Linked DNA regions of Anolis sagrei. The protein of the gene in region 1 interacts with the protein of each later gene in a biochemical or structural test. Links are inferred from orthologs where the notes say so. Each region holds a gene or a part of one and is shown on either strand. Other genes may lie near its edges.

The links.
Region 2: of the proteins of RIGI (region 1) and RNF125, one has a biochemical effect on the other in vitro, tested with the Homo sapiens proteins (3 studies listed by BioGRID and IntAct, with this or other methods). The link is inferred for Anolis sagrei from reciprocal best matches to the Homo sapiens genes RIGI and RNF125.

What each region holds. Positions count from the first base shown.
Region 1 is NC_090022.1:205,270,118-205,277,513, forward strand, and holds the start of RIGI (antiviral innate immune response receptor RIG-I), read right to left. Parts: upstream 3,109-7,396; 5' UTR 2,959-3,108; coding exon 2,853-2,958; exon of another isoform or gene 2,812-2,852; intron 1-2,811.
Region 2 is NC_090024.1:55,235,847-55,243,542, reverse strand, and holds the start of RNF125 (E3 ubiquitin-protein ligase RNF125), read left to right. Parts: upstream 1-4,501; 5' UTR 4,502-4,653; coding exon 4,654-4,859; intron 4,860-7,696. UniProt on the Homo sapiens protein: E3 ubiquitin-protein ligase that mediates ubiquitination and subsequent proteasomal degradation of target proteins, such as RIGI, MAVS/IPS1, IFIH1/MDA5, JAK1 and p53/TP53.

The DNA.
Region 1 (7,396 bases):
GTCTACATCAAGACCACCAAATGCAGCAATGCCCAAACACGGATCAAGGAACATGAAAGGCATTACAGACTAACCCTCGGTCCCATCTTCAGGTCACTTCTGATGAGGTGAAAATATCTCCTGACATGAAACAATCAGGGCCAACTAACACCTTCCAACAAAGGATTTTCCCAGGCAAGAAGCAGCCATTCAACACTAATCAAGGTGGCCCATTGCAACATTCACACTTGCCTCAAGCAGACAAGAGTTCTTTCTCCCACCCTGGACATGCCACAGATATATAAACCTTAGTTGCCTGGTTTCCAACAGACCTCCCAACCTCTGAGAATGCCTGCCATAGATGTGGGCAAAATGTCAGGAGAGATTTCTTCTGAAACAAGGCCATGCAGCCTGGAAAACTCACAGAAACCCATTTCTATTCCCAGTTTTTGACAAATGGTGTTAGCATTTTGCAGAAGTTACAATCTGCTGGCTGCATGTGGGGTGGAGAAGGGATGGTAATTCAGTCACAGCATATTCAATGGCACTTACATCCAAGTAAGTATCACACTTGCTCCCCCTAAATATACACAAATTGATTTACTTTTTGAACCTAGAGATTCCTAGAGAGAACAATTTCAATGAAATCTGTGAATAATCATCAAATTCACAGATATGAAACCCACAAATGTGAAGAGACAACTATAACACTATGTAACAAAATTTAGAAAAACATCTGTTCCTGGTTTGAAAGTGCCACACATGTATGCACATACATCCACATATATACACATACATAAACATATACATACATATGTACCCAGGCATGTAGCCGGGGGGGGGGGCTTGAGGGGCTTCAGCTCCTCCCCCCCCCCCCCCAATTCTCATGGTGGTTCGCGAAAAGGCCTTACTGGTGCATTATTTAAACTGTTATGTTTATTCATATCATGATCTGATCACCATGCTCAATATATCCCATATGCATGGGGGTATTGGGGTAATAATACAAAAGGTTTGCTAGGCTAGACCCTCTTTCACTCAGACTCAGCCCCCCCCCCGAAACTCAGCCCCCCCCGAACCCCCCCCTGAAAAAAATTCAGCCCCCCCCCCCCTGAAACGAAATCCTGGCTATGGGCCTGTATGTACCCATACATATATATACACATATATGCAAAAATGTATACACAACATGATCACATGGTCTTCAGTTCCTCCCACAACCACAATCAACATAGTTAAACAGCACACATATACAGATGGACACATGCACACACACATGTACATACATATAGGGCACACATATACACAAAAACATGCACATACATACATAAATATACATACATATATGCCCATACATATATACACATATATGAAAAACGTATACACAGCATGATCACATGGTCTTCAATCCCTACCACAACTTCAATCAACATACACGTATACAGATGAACACATGGACACACACATGTACATACATAGAGGGCGCATGTAGGTACAAACATATACACATACATTCACACATATACATACATATATACCCATACATAGGTAAAAGGTAAAGGCTGTCTCCTGACATTAAGTCCAGTCGTGTCCAACTCTGGGGGTTGGTGCTCATCTCCAGGCCTGTAGCGAGGGGGGGGGTTAGGGGTTCAACCCCCCCCCCCCCCAAATGTTTCAGATTTTTTAAAAAACCTGGTTTACTCATGAATTTTAACTGGTTAACCAAATCCCCATGCTAAGTCTATGAGATGCAAAAAATTAAGAGTCCTTCCAGAACTGCAAGCACTATCTCTTACTTACTTACTTAGGCGATCCCTCGTTGGACGAGTAAGATGGTCTTCCATTATGGATTTCCTTGTGGGTCCGTATGTGGCTGTGGAGCCCTATTCTTGCTCTGCATCTTCTTCCGCAGTGAGGGCATTGGTTTCCAGGTGGAAGGCGTTCCCGGTCGGGGTTGGCTTGACGCGCCTTCCTCCTGGCACGTTTCTCTCTTTCACCCTCCACTCGTGCCTCCTCGAATTCTGCAGCACTGCTGGTCACAGCTGTCCTCCAGCTGGAGCGCTCAAGGGCCAGGGCTTCCCAGTTCTCAGTGTCTATGCCAGAGTTTTTAAGGTTGGCTTTCAGCCCATCTTTAAATCTCTTTTCCTGTCCACCAACGTTCCGTTTTCCGTTCTTAAAGCACTATCTCAGGCAAATATTGACAATTTATTCACACTGTCATTACTTGCAGCAATAGCCGATGTAGCGAAGCAACCAAGTTGGGTGTGTGTGTGTTGAATGCTCTCATTAAGGAGGCCAGACTTGGTGGAGGTGGTTGACAGGGGCGGAGGGGCAGGCTATTGAAGGCTGCTCTGCCCCCTGCTGTGCTCTTTGCTTCAGCGTGAGCTAGGAGGCAGGTTTCACCCCCCCCCCCCGAAAATTTCAACCCCTCCCGAAAAAATTTTCTGGCTACGGCCCTGCTCATCTCCATTTCTAAGCCAAAGAGCCAGTGTTGTCCATAGACACCTCCAAGGTCATGTGGCCAGCATGACTGCATGGAGCACCATTACCTACCCATACATATATACACATAATGCAAAAATGTATACACAACATGATGACATGGTCTTCAGTCCCTGGGCAGAGTTGCATACTTACACACATCTGTGGACACTTATGTGCACATATATTGATACACATATACATGCATATACATATACATGCAAACATACTCACAAATACATACACACATCCTTCTATATCGATATACCCAGCGATGTGTGTGTGGGGGGGGCGCGCCTATATACACTCCCTTGTGCACACCCATAATAATAAGTAAGTGCAGGCACACACTGGGAGCAGAAGGGAGAGAGGAGGGAGAGGGAGATGCTGACCATCGGAGAGCCAGTCCTTCATGTAGCAGAGGATGTAGACGGGGTTGAGGGTCTTCTGGATGTAATGCCCGAAGCGGAGCAAGTTCTCCTTCTCCTCGGCACTCATGGCGAAGGCGAGGCTCTCTTCCCTGCCTCCCAAGCACTCTTATAGAGGAAGCAAGGCAGGGGGCCCCCAGGCTGGGGGCAAGGGTCCCGGGGCGCAGCCTCCTCCTCCTCCTCCTCCTCCTCCGCCGGCTTCCCTTTCCCTCTCCAGAAGCCGACCGGCTGGGAAGAGAGGCGGAGCCCGGGCTGGAAACGAAACCCAAGGCAGAGAAACCGAAAGCAGGCGGAGAGTCGAGGAGGAAAAGGTTTGGCAGCACTTCAACTGCTAGATCTATCTCCAGGCCGGGGAATCCCGGGAGTTGCACTTTGGGGAGCCCTCTGGACCAAGCGAAAGCCTGTGCAAAACTTGGGTGCCCACGGACTCAGAGTAGCCAGCTATGCAATTCAAGCAGAATCAAGTTGCATTCATTCTACAGCAGCGTTTCTCAACCGAGGGGTCGCAAGGAGAGTGTCAGGGGGATCGCCAAAGACCATCAGAAAAAAACGTTTTTTTCTGTTGGTCATAGGGATTCGGTGTGGGAAGTTTGGCCCAATTCGATCGTAGGTGGAGTTCAGAATACTCTTTGTCGGTAGGTGAACCAGACAAACTACAACTCCCAAATGTCAAGGTCTATTTTCCCCAAACTCCACCAGTGTTGGCTTTTCGGCATATTGAGTATTTCTGCCAAGTTTGGTCCAGATCCAGGCATGTAGCGGGGGGGAGGGGGGGGAGCTTGAGGGGCTTAAACCCCCCCCCCCCGAAATTCTCATGGCGGTTCGCGAAAAGGCCTTACTGGTGCATTATTTAAACTGTTACGTTATTCATATCATGATCTGATCACCATACTCAATATATCCCATATGCATGGGGGTACTGGGGCAATGATACAAAAGGTTTGCTAGGGTAGACCCACTTTCACTCAGACTCAGCCCCCCCCCCCGAAACTCAGCCCCCCCGAACCCCCCCTGAAAAAAACTCAGCCCCCCCCCCCCCCCCCCCCCCGAATCGAAATCCTGGCTACGGGCCTGTCCAGATCCATCATTGTTTCATTCCACAGTGCTCTCTGGATGTAGGTGAACTACAACTCCAAAAGCTCAAGGTCAATGCCCACCAAAACCCTTCCAGTATTTTCTGTTGGCCATGACAGTTCTGTGTCCCAAGTTTGTTTCAACTCCATCGTTGGCGGACTTCAGAATGCTCTTTGATTGTAGGTGAACTATCAATCCCAGCAACTACAACTCCCAAATGTCAAGGTCTGTTTTCCCCAAACTCCACTTGTGTTTACATTTGGGCATATTGCGTATCCGTGTGTGTGTGTGTGTGTGTGTGTGTATGTATGTGCGTGTATATATATATATATATATATATATGGCATGGGCCAACTTCGGCCCTCCATGTGTTTTGGACAAAATTTGTCCATGCCCATATCCATTTATATATATATATAATCAGTGTTTGGTTTGGGGAGGGGGCACCAAAATACTGTTTGCTTACCATTGAAAATTACCTACGGCCACCTCTGTATCCCTGCCAAGTTTGGTCCAGATCCATCATTGTTTGTGTCTACAGTGCTCTCTGGATGTAGCTGAACTACAACTCCCAAACTCAAGGTCAATACCCACTAGGCCCTTCCAGTATTTTCTGTTGGTCATGGGAGTTCTCTGTGGGAAGTTTGGCCCAATTCTATCATTGGTAGGGTTCAGAATGCTCTTGGACGGTAGGTGAACCATAAATCCCAGCAACTACAACTCCCAAATGTCAGGGGGCCTCATCACACTACAGTATAAATCCACCTTAAATCTGGTTGTTGCTTTCTGCAGAATTCTGGGGTTTGTAGTTTAGGGAGGAGCCTTTGACAGCCTCACTAAACTACAAACCCCAGAATTCTGCAGGAGGCAGAAGCCGGATTTAATGTGGATTCATTCTCTAGTGTGATGAATTGGTAGGTCTGTTTTTCCCCAAACCTCCACCAGTGTTCACTTTTTGGCATATTAAGTATTCGTGCCAAGTTGGTCCAGATCCATCATTGTTTGAGTCCACAGTGCTCTCTGGATGTAGGTGAACTACAACTCCAAAACTCAAGGTCAATGCCCACCAAACCCTTCCAGTATTTTCTCTTAGTCATGGGAGTTCTGTGTGCCAAGTTTGGTTCAATTCCATTGTTGGTGGAATTCAGAATGCTCTTTGATTGTAGGTGAACTCTAAATCCCAGTAACTACAACTCCCAAATGACAAATCAGTTCCTCCCCCCAACTCCACCAGTATTCAAATTTGGACATATTGGGTATTTGGACCAAATTTGGTCCAGTGAATGAAAATGCATCCGGCATATCAGTTCCTGGGATATAGGGCCTGTTTGGAAGGGCTCTCAGGCACCTTCCACACAGCTGTATAAAATCCACATTGAACTGAATTATATGGCAATGAGGACACCTTCTACATTGCCTCTGGCCCCTTCTACCCTGCCATATAATCCAGATCATCAAAGCATATAATCCACATTATCTGCTTTAAACTGGATTATATGGGGCCTCTTCTACACTACCAGATAAAATCCGGATTATCTGCTATGAACTGGATTATATGGCAGTATTCCAACAATGGTTAAAAACCATAAAAACATATTTAGAACTAAAAACCACAGCGTCCCCTGTGAATAGGACACAGCGTACTCACTCCCAAGGATATGTGTCCAATGTTACAGCCATGTTAAAGTTAATGACTGAGTTGTGTTTGCACACATAGTGCAGAAGGGTGTTTTCTTTCCTTCTGGATTATTGACTGGAGATGCAAGGAGTTTCCTTCTCCTTTTACTGTGCTTGGGCTTGAAGAAATAGAAACTAAGGACACTTTCATTTATCCAAGAGGAAAGTAATTACATAACATTCTCTGGATGCTTGCCACACATATAAATAGATCAGGATTGTAATTCAAACCAGAACTAAGGGGGGGGGAATCATTTTTAGGAGGATTGGGTACACTAAGCAGGAATTTTAAACGGAGGGCCCTTCCACACAGCCATATAACCCAGAATATCAAGGCTGAAAATCCCAACATATCTGCTTTGAACTGGGTTATCTGAGTCACCACTGCCATATATCCCAGTTCAAAGCAGATAATGTAGGATCTTATAGAGTGGATTGGAAAGGACCTCAAACTGGATTAAATTAGGGCACGCCTTCCATACTCTCCCTTTCTAAACTGGGAGGGGTGCATGTAGTAGTTTATTTCCCCACTATTGAGTCGTTACCTTGTTTTTTCCTTCAGTTTATGGCAGCACTATGACTATGAGTGTGTCTACACTGTAGAATGAACACCACTTTATCTGCCATGGCTCAATGCTATGGAATCCTAGGAGTTGTAATTTGGTCAAGCACCAACACTCTTTGACAGAAGAGGCTGAAGACCTTATAAAATGATAACTTCTCTTATTCCACAGCATTGAGACATGGCTGTTAAAATGGTGTTGATGTGCATTCGTTCTACAGTGTAGACATAGGGCCACCATAAGCAGACTTCATTCACCATCTTTTGTAATGGTGTAATGGCCATGAGACACTCGCAGAAGTCACATGGAATCATGTTGGGAAAGTAGGGACTCAGACGAAGCACAGGTGTGCTGTGTTTGCCCAGGAAACTCTATATCAAATTTGAAGAATGGGAAGGTGCATTTTTATGATGGAGCTGCCAATTGCCCGCTGCCTACAGGTCCTGTCATTTGCGTCTCACAGGTTTACAAAGCCAACATAGAACCACTTGGTAGTACTCCTTGTTGATGGTAGTACCATGTGTTACATACTTGTGATGAACCACAACACTGGAGTCAAAGTAGACCGTCAGCATGACTTTTTTTTGGACTTGCCTTTTTCTTTTTGGCTTTGAGGATGTTGGATGCATCCATTGTGATGACTGCAATTTGGTTTCTGGCTCATACCCCTAAACCCAGGACTCATCGCCAGTGATCAGTGTTTATTTCTATTTTATTTTAATTTATGGTTTTTATATTCCGCCCTTCTCACCCCAAAGGGGACTCAGAGTGGTTCACAGAACACATATACAGCAAATATTCAGTGCCGATTATACAATGACAAAACGGACAATAGATAGAGGAGTGTGTGTATGTATATACGCACATGCTTTCCCATCTTTTGGCATCTTTGGAGGCTGTGCTCATTTCCGGCCACAAGGGAGTGCTGTCACTCCATCTCCTTGTTGAAGAGCGTTTCTTTGTTTATAAACTTCCTCTTTTTTCTGATCGAAACACCATGCCTATTGTGACTGAGCTGGAACCACAGAGTGCCTCTGATGGTCAGCTGGAATCACAGAGTATCTCTGATGAGGATGATGGGATTCAAGTTCACAATCTGGTCCAAAATGCCCCTGTTATAGACAATGAGGAACAGGGGATGCAAGTTCAGTTTCCCACAGCAAGAAATGAGATTGTTGATACCGAAACTAGCCA
Region 2 (7,696 bases), on another chromosome or scaffold:
TCTAGGTGGGTTACGGCATAGTTAAGCATTGTAAAGGTTCTATAAATACACATATCAAAATGTATGTCTATAAAAGATGCATATCAAAACATATTTGTATAAAATGCATATTAAAATACAGAGAACAGATTAAAGCATTTTTCTCTTTTGGTACAGTATCACACTGCAGGCTCACGTTCAACTTATGATCAACAACAATTCCATAGTAGAGTTTCACCAACAAACAACCCCTTGATGTAGCCATGGCAATCAGTGCCATATTAGTGCTATAATTGCGAAAGTACTACAAAAAATACTGCAAACATCAGTTCATGCTACTGGTTGACTGCTCTGTAGAGTGCAGATTTCTACAGGAAGCACTTGCTTGCTCTTACTATGAAGTATTTCCAAGTTATTATTTTCCTACTTTGTCTTTATGCATAATTCATTTTGGACAGGAGGGCTTATGTCAAAGCCAGTCTATCACACTAGAACATAAAGAATAGGCAAAGAGTATAGCATCACACTGAAATCCTGTGGCTGCCTCCTGCAGAATTCTGGGTATAATTCAGCTGTACACCTAATATTAGAAAAGACCATGTTTCCATTCAGGTGTTATGGCTGAACAAGTGTAGGAAGCAAAGTGGCCTTGCTCCCAATATGCTATGATAGCCTTCATTCCCTAAACCCTCAGCAATCCCATGCTTACTGAGGTCATCAGGGGCCTTTCTACATCCAGGAATTCTTGTAAATTACGTAGCGTTACTGGCACATTAACATTTTTATTTGTCTTCAATAAACATTAGTCCTTTGAGGACTTTGTGTTCAAACAAATATAAATCCTTGGTTGACATCCCACACAACATTTGGAAGGCCTTGGGGGGAAGAGTTTGTTTAGGAAACTCCATCCCTCTTGTGCTGGCGTACCCTAAACTGGCAACCTGAACAGAGTTGTGCTTCCACCTGTGTGACTCATACAAACAGTTCCCTGAAACCCACTGAAACATCAGGCTCACAGCTTGGATGCACTACTAGACTTGAGCCCTGATGTCCAGGGTTTCATTTTTAAGACTAGCACATCAGTTGCATCTGTTCCAGGAAAAGTCAGTTTTGATTATATATCTTTTAGTTTACTATAACACAGCTTCACTGGCCACTGGCTTGTTTCCAGGCACATTTTAAACAGCTGGTTATAAAGACTTAAATGGTATCTGATAAATTTTTCCTTCCTTCTACAAATCTTCAATCCATCGCAGACCTGTCTGGTAAGGACACAGGAGGAGAGTGGGTGGGGGCTCTCACACTGTGCAATTTCCCCTCCATAGGAAATTAGACTGGCCAACCACTTTACTCTTCTTTCACTGGCAGGCATATAATGCATCAACACTGTAGAATGAATGCATCTTGAGACCCATGGCTCAGTGCTATGAAATAATGGGAACTGTAGCTTTATAATTTTAGTCTTCTCTGCCAAAACGTGCAAGTGACTCACCAAACTATAACTCACAGGATTCTATAGCATTGAGCCATGTCTTATAAAGTGGTGTCAAGCTGCATTCATTCTATAATGTAGATGCTCCCAAATACTTTTATATCCATGGAGAGTATGGAGAGTGTTGTATTTTATTATATTGTGGGAGATGTGCTTTGATTTTTTTTCTCCTCAGGATTTTAGATTTACCTTTTTAAATCTTTTTGTAAGCCAACTATGAAACACAGTTGCTGTGCATCTTCATGATGTTTTCACCTTATGGTGAACCTAAGGTGACCCTTTCTCGGAGTTTTCTTGGCAAGATTTACTCAGAAGGGGGGATTGTCTTTGTCTTCATCTGAGGCTAAGGGAATGTAACTTCCTCAGAGGCAGAATTCCATAGGAGTGAATTTCCCTCCCTAGGGATAGATCTCTCTCCCTTCCTATTGTCTCTCTTTGCTCTTTAGTGAGTGGTGAAAACTTTAGCTTTCAAACTATTTTAAAACTTCATAGAAGTCCAGCCACCTTTTGTACTAGTGCAGGTAGCCCCCGAGTTACAAACATCCAAGTTAAATTATTCATAGTTAAGAATAGCGGTGAGACAACAACACCTAGGAAGGGAAATTCACTCCTAAAAGAGTTATCCTGGGAGGGGGGAGGTGTCCCCGCTGAAACTTTAGCACCAATCCGTTTCCACAAGCCATTTTTTTTAAAATCCAATTCTCACAGGGACAAAAAGTGAGGTGAAATCTTCTGAACAGGGGCGCAGACAGCAAAACAGACACCTCAGGGGTGTTAACCCTTCCCTATGATATCCAAAGCTTGTGTGTGTCAGAACAGATAATATTTTAAGTGTAACTCCATCCATATATATTGAATGATTTAAAAATTACTTGTTCCAATTTACATACAAATCCAATTTAAACAAACCTTCAGAACCTATCTTGATCGTATCTTATAGCAACCCTTTTCTGTCATCAGCAGCCTTGGTCTGGTTTTGCAGATTCAGGGCCTTGGGTTCATTGATTGAATCAATCCATCTGGAATGTGGTATTTTTCTTTTCATACTGCATTTCCCCCTGGCTTTGCTTCTTTTAAAGAAGGATTTTTGCCTTCCACTTTCCCAAGCCTAATTGTCTTCTGAAATGAATCATCTAGTGAAGCACGGTTTAGTCATCTTGGCTTCTAAAGTGAATTCTGACCTATTTATTTGTCTTTTTAGCAATCCATGGAATCCTCATAACTCTTTTCAAGCATCATTATCTCAAATGAGTTATTTTCTTCCTATCAACTTTCTTCGTTATTCAGCTTTCACAACCATATGTAGAAATATGACAACATGAGCCACTTTAATTTAGTATTCAATGACAGATCTTTTCACTTCGAGATCCTGTCTGGTTCCTTCCAGGTCTTTAGGTGCCTCTAGTCTGTGGAATGAATGCTATAATTAACTGCCCTAGTTCCAGGCCATGGAGTTGTAATTTTTCGAGGTCTTTAGCTCCTCTGTAAAAAAAAAAAAAAAAAAAAGTGCTGGTATTTCACCAAACTTCAAATCCCAGGAATTGGGTCAACTGTGTTGGCAGTTGACCCAACCCAACTGCCATGGGTCAATGGAATCCATAACATTGACCCATGGCGGTTGTATTGTCAAAGAACATAATTTCTACAGTGTACTGTAGCTGCTCCCTTAATGTTCTTCTGGTTTCTTCACTATGGCCTCCACTTTGATTAATGTGTGAGCTAAGGAAACATTTAAGTGAATTCATTTTAAAAATTTATTTATTACTTCATGTATAAATCGTTTTTCTCACCCTTGGAGGGACTCAAAGTGGTTTCCAACATATTCACGGCAAAATTCAATGCCTTACAAAACATGAAAACCTGACATAAAACAACAGTAACATAAAACTATAAATTAAATCATAAAACGTTACTACATTTAAACATTAAAACGAGGAATTAAAAATATATTAATATAAACATTAAAATCACATGATCCAAAAGCATGGTCCCGGCCGTTCCAGTATCAAATAACAATTGCACATAATCTGTGTTCGTTTCTTGTCCTGCTTACTGCCCAAATGCTTGGTTCCACAGCCATGTTTTTGCTTTTTTTTTCCCCCTGAAGGACAAGAGCGAGGGTGATCTACATTAAAGTGATCTAAATCATCACAAAACGTTACAAAAACAAAATAGTTTCTCTCCCCCCCCCCCCCAAAATGCCATGTATGTTTACTCAGAAGTTAGCTCCACATTGAACAGTACAACTTAGAATGCCCTGACACTGCAGAAACAGTGCACTTTTGGTGTTATGGAATCCTGGGAGTTGCGATTTTACAAGTTCTGTAGCTTTTTGTCAGGTGGTACAAGTGTTTAACCAAAGTACAAATCCCAGGCTTTGATGCCATTGAGCCAAGGAAGTTTAAAAGGGCAATGCTATAGAATTGCATGAGCCCCTGGTGATGCAGCAGATTAAACCACTGAGCTGCTGAACTTGCTGACCAAAAGGTTGCCAGTTCAAATCTGGGGAGCAGGGTGAGCTCCCACTGTTAGGCCCAGCTTCTGCCAACCTAGCAGTTTGAAAACATGCAAATGTGAGTTGGCAGGAAGGTAATTGCGCTCCATGCCGGCCACATAACCTTGGAGGTGTCTAAGGACAACGCCGGCTCTTCAGCTTAGAAATGGAGATTAGCACCAGCCCCCAGAGTCGCACACAACTAGACTTAATTCAATGGGAAACCTTTATCTTTACCTTTGGAATCACAAAAGGCCAAAGACCTTGTGAAACTACCACTTCTGGAACTTCCATGCTCTGAGCCGTGGGAGTTAAAAGTGGTGTTAAACTGCATTCATTCTACAGTGTAGAATACATGGCTAATAACTACTGCACACAAAACACACACTGCTGGTCTATCTGGAGACCAACCCCTTTGGCAACCAAGAAGCCCCCCCCCTGTGGGCGGGGCATTAGCTGGCACCGCCCCCTTTTAATGGGCGGCAGCGGTCATTGGTTGGCCGGGGACCAATGGCAGGCTCCTGCGGGGATTCGACCCTGTGGCCCCGCCCCGAGCGCCGAGGGGGTCTCCAGCGCAGCCCAGAAAGAGAGGCAGAGAGAACTAAAGAGGCTCCCTCTCGCTAAGTTCCTGCGGGCTCCCAAGTATCGCGAGGTCTCCCCGGAGAGAAAGAAAGGGAGGATTCAGACGATGGGCTCCGCGTTGAGCAGCGACGGGAGGGAAGCCACTACTTCGTCGGACTCCGGAGGCCTCCCAGCCGGGATCCCGCCGCTCCCCCTGCAGTTGGGGCGAGCGGGAGAAGAAAAAGCCCAACAACAACAACAGATCCCTTCTTTCGACTGCTCCATCTGCTTGGAAGTGCTCAACCAGCCCGTCAGGACGCAGTGCGGACACGTGTAAGTGCCACAGTTTCCCTTCACTCATCCTTGGGTTGCATCCACACCGTGGAATTAATGCGCTTTGATACCGCTTTCATTGCCATGGCGTGGGTTCTTTGTTGTGGTTGCTTGTACTAACTCCTCGGAAGTTCCATTGTGGGAATCGACTTTGGGCGCATCTACATTGCAGACTTAATGCAGTTTGATACTACTTTAATGCAGTTACTTAATGGAAAGTCTACATCCTGAGATGCATGAAAGCCTGTGCTACCAATCTCTCTCTTTCTCTCTCTTTCTCTCTCTTTCTCTCTCTCTACTGGATGCATCTATACTGTAGATTTGATGCAGTTTGACACCACTTGAATTCAATTGCTTAATGGAAAGTCTACTTCCTGAGATGCATGAGCTTGTGCTATCTGTGTGTGTGTGTGTGTGTGTGTTTGTGTGTGTGTGTGTGTGTGTGTGTGTGTACTGGGTGCATCTATACTGTAGATTTAATTCAGTTTGACACCATTTTAATGCAATTGCTTAAAGGAAAGTCTACTTCCTGAGATGCATGAAAGCCTGTGCTACCTCCCTCTTCCCCCCCCCCCCCATATATAAACACACACACACACACTGGGTGCATCTATACTGTAGATTTGATGCAGTTTGACACCACTTGAATGCAATTGCTTAGTGAAAAGTCTACTTCCTGAGATGCATGAAAGCCTATGCTACCAATCCCTCTCTCTCCTGGGTGCATCTATACTGTAGATTTAATGTAGCTTGACACCACTTTAATGCAATTGCTTAAAGGAAAGTCTACTTCCTGAGATGCATGAAAGTCTTTGCTACCAATCTCAATCTCTCTCTCTCTCCTCTCTCTCTATACCAGGTGCATCTATACTGTAGATTTGGTGTAGTTTGACACTACTTCAATGCAATTGCTTAAATGAAAGCCTATTTCCTGAGATGCACAAAAGCCTTAGCTACCAATCTCTCTCTCTCTCTCTGTACTGGGTGCATCTATCCTGTAGATTTGATGCAGTTTGACACCACTTTAATTGCTTAAAGGAAAGTCTACTTCCTCAGATGCATGAAAGCCTTCACTATCCACCCCCCCCCTCTACTGGGTGCATCTATACTGTTGATTTGATGCAGTTTGATACCACTTTAATGCAGTTTCTTAAAGGAAAGACCACTTCCTGAGATGCATAAAAGCCTGTGCTACCAATCTCTTTCTGTGTCTCTGTCTGTCTGTCTCTGTCTATCTATCTATCTATCTATCTATCTATCTATATATACGGGGTCATCTATACTGTAGATTTAATGCAGTTTGAGACCACTTTAATTGCCATGGCTCAGTACTATGATTTTTGGGATTTGTAGCGAGGAGGCTACAGGCTTTGTAAAGCCACAACTTCCATTGTTGCGTAGTTTGAGCCATGGCAGTTAAAGTGGTGTGAAACTGCATTAATCCTACAGTGTAGATCAGGGGTCCTCAAACTTTTTAAACAGAGGGCCAGGTCACAGTCCTTCAACCTGTTGGAGGGCCGGATTATAATTTGAAAAAAACATGGATTCCTATGCACATTGCACATATCTTATTTGTAGTGCAAAAATACTTTAAAATGAGATAGGGTTGTTGTTGTTGTTGTTGTTGTTGTTGTTGTTGTTGTTGTTGTTGTTGTGTGCTTTCAAGTAGTTTCAGACTTAGGTTGACCCTGAGCAAGGGCCGGGTAAATGCCCTTGGAGGGCCGCATCCGGCCCCCGGGCCTTAGTTTGAGGACCCCTGGTGTAGATGCAGCATTAAGACCTCATCACACTAGAGAATGAATTAACTTTAAATCCAATCTCTACCTTTTGCAGAATTCTAGGGTTTGTAGTTTAGGGAGAAGCCTTTAACAGGATCACTAAACTTAAATCCGGTTTCTGCCTCCTGCAGAATTCTGGGGTTTGTAGTTTAGGGAGGCTTTTAAAGGCTCCTCCCTAAACTACAGACCCCAGAATTCTGCAGGAGGCAGAATGTGGATTCATTCTCTAGTTTGATGAAGTCACATTGTTCACAGTGAAACTGACTTCCCGAGTAAACAAGCACAGGAGTGAATTAAAAAACAGGGTTTGAAAAACAAAGGAGCCATGTTTTCCTTTTCTTTCTTTTTTCATGTTTAAGCTGGCTAAGGAGACGTTTTGTTTTGGCTTTGCTGGCTTGCTTGTTGGAAGGATTGGTGTTAAAGAAGAACATAGTTTGTGTTGCAATGCTTTATTGTCCGACAGCCTAGGAAAAAGTTGGAGAGGTTCCTTCGAAAACTAATTAAAAGTACTTCTATAGGGGTGGATCTACACCAGGCATGGGCAAACTTGGGCCCCCGCAGGTGTTTTGGACTCCAACTCCCACAATTCCTAAGCGGCTGAGGGGGGAAAGGAAGGGGCCTGAGACTGTTAGGAATTGTGGGAGTTGGAGTCCAAAACACCTGCGGGGGCCCAAGTTTGCCCATGCCTGCTCTACACTACAATTAATGCAGTTTTAAACCCTGGGTCAGCCCTCTTTGGCAGGGAAGGCCAAAAACCTTGCAAAAATTAAAAGTCCTATGATTCCTTGGCATTGATCCATAGCAATAAAAGAGGTGCCAAATTGCATTAATTCTACAATGTAGATTTACCTCTAGTTAATATGCCATAACATCTACTTTGATTTTTTAAAAAGTCACTATAAATACACTTTAAATAATTTATCTGTATCTGGATGTATGATTCATATGTATGGTGAATAGATGCATTCAAATGGCCATTACAATAAAAGCTGGATCATAATTATTTTAAGGAGCTGTTTTCAAGCATTGCACCAAAACAGTGTACCGTGTAGTCTGAAG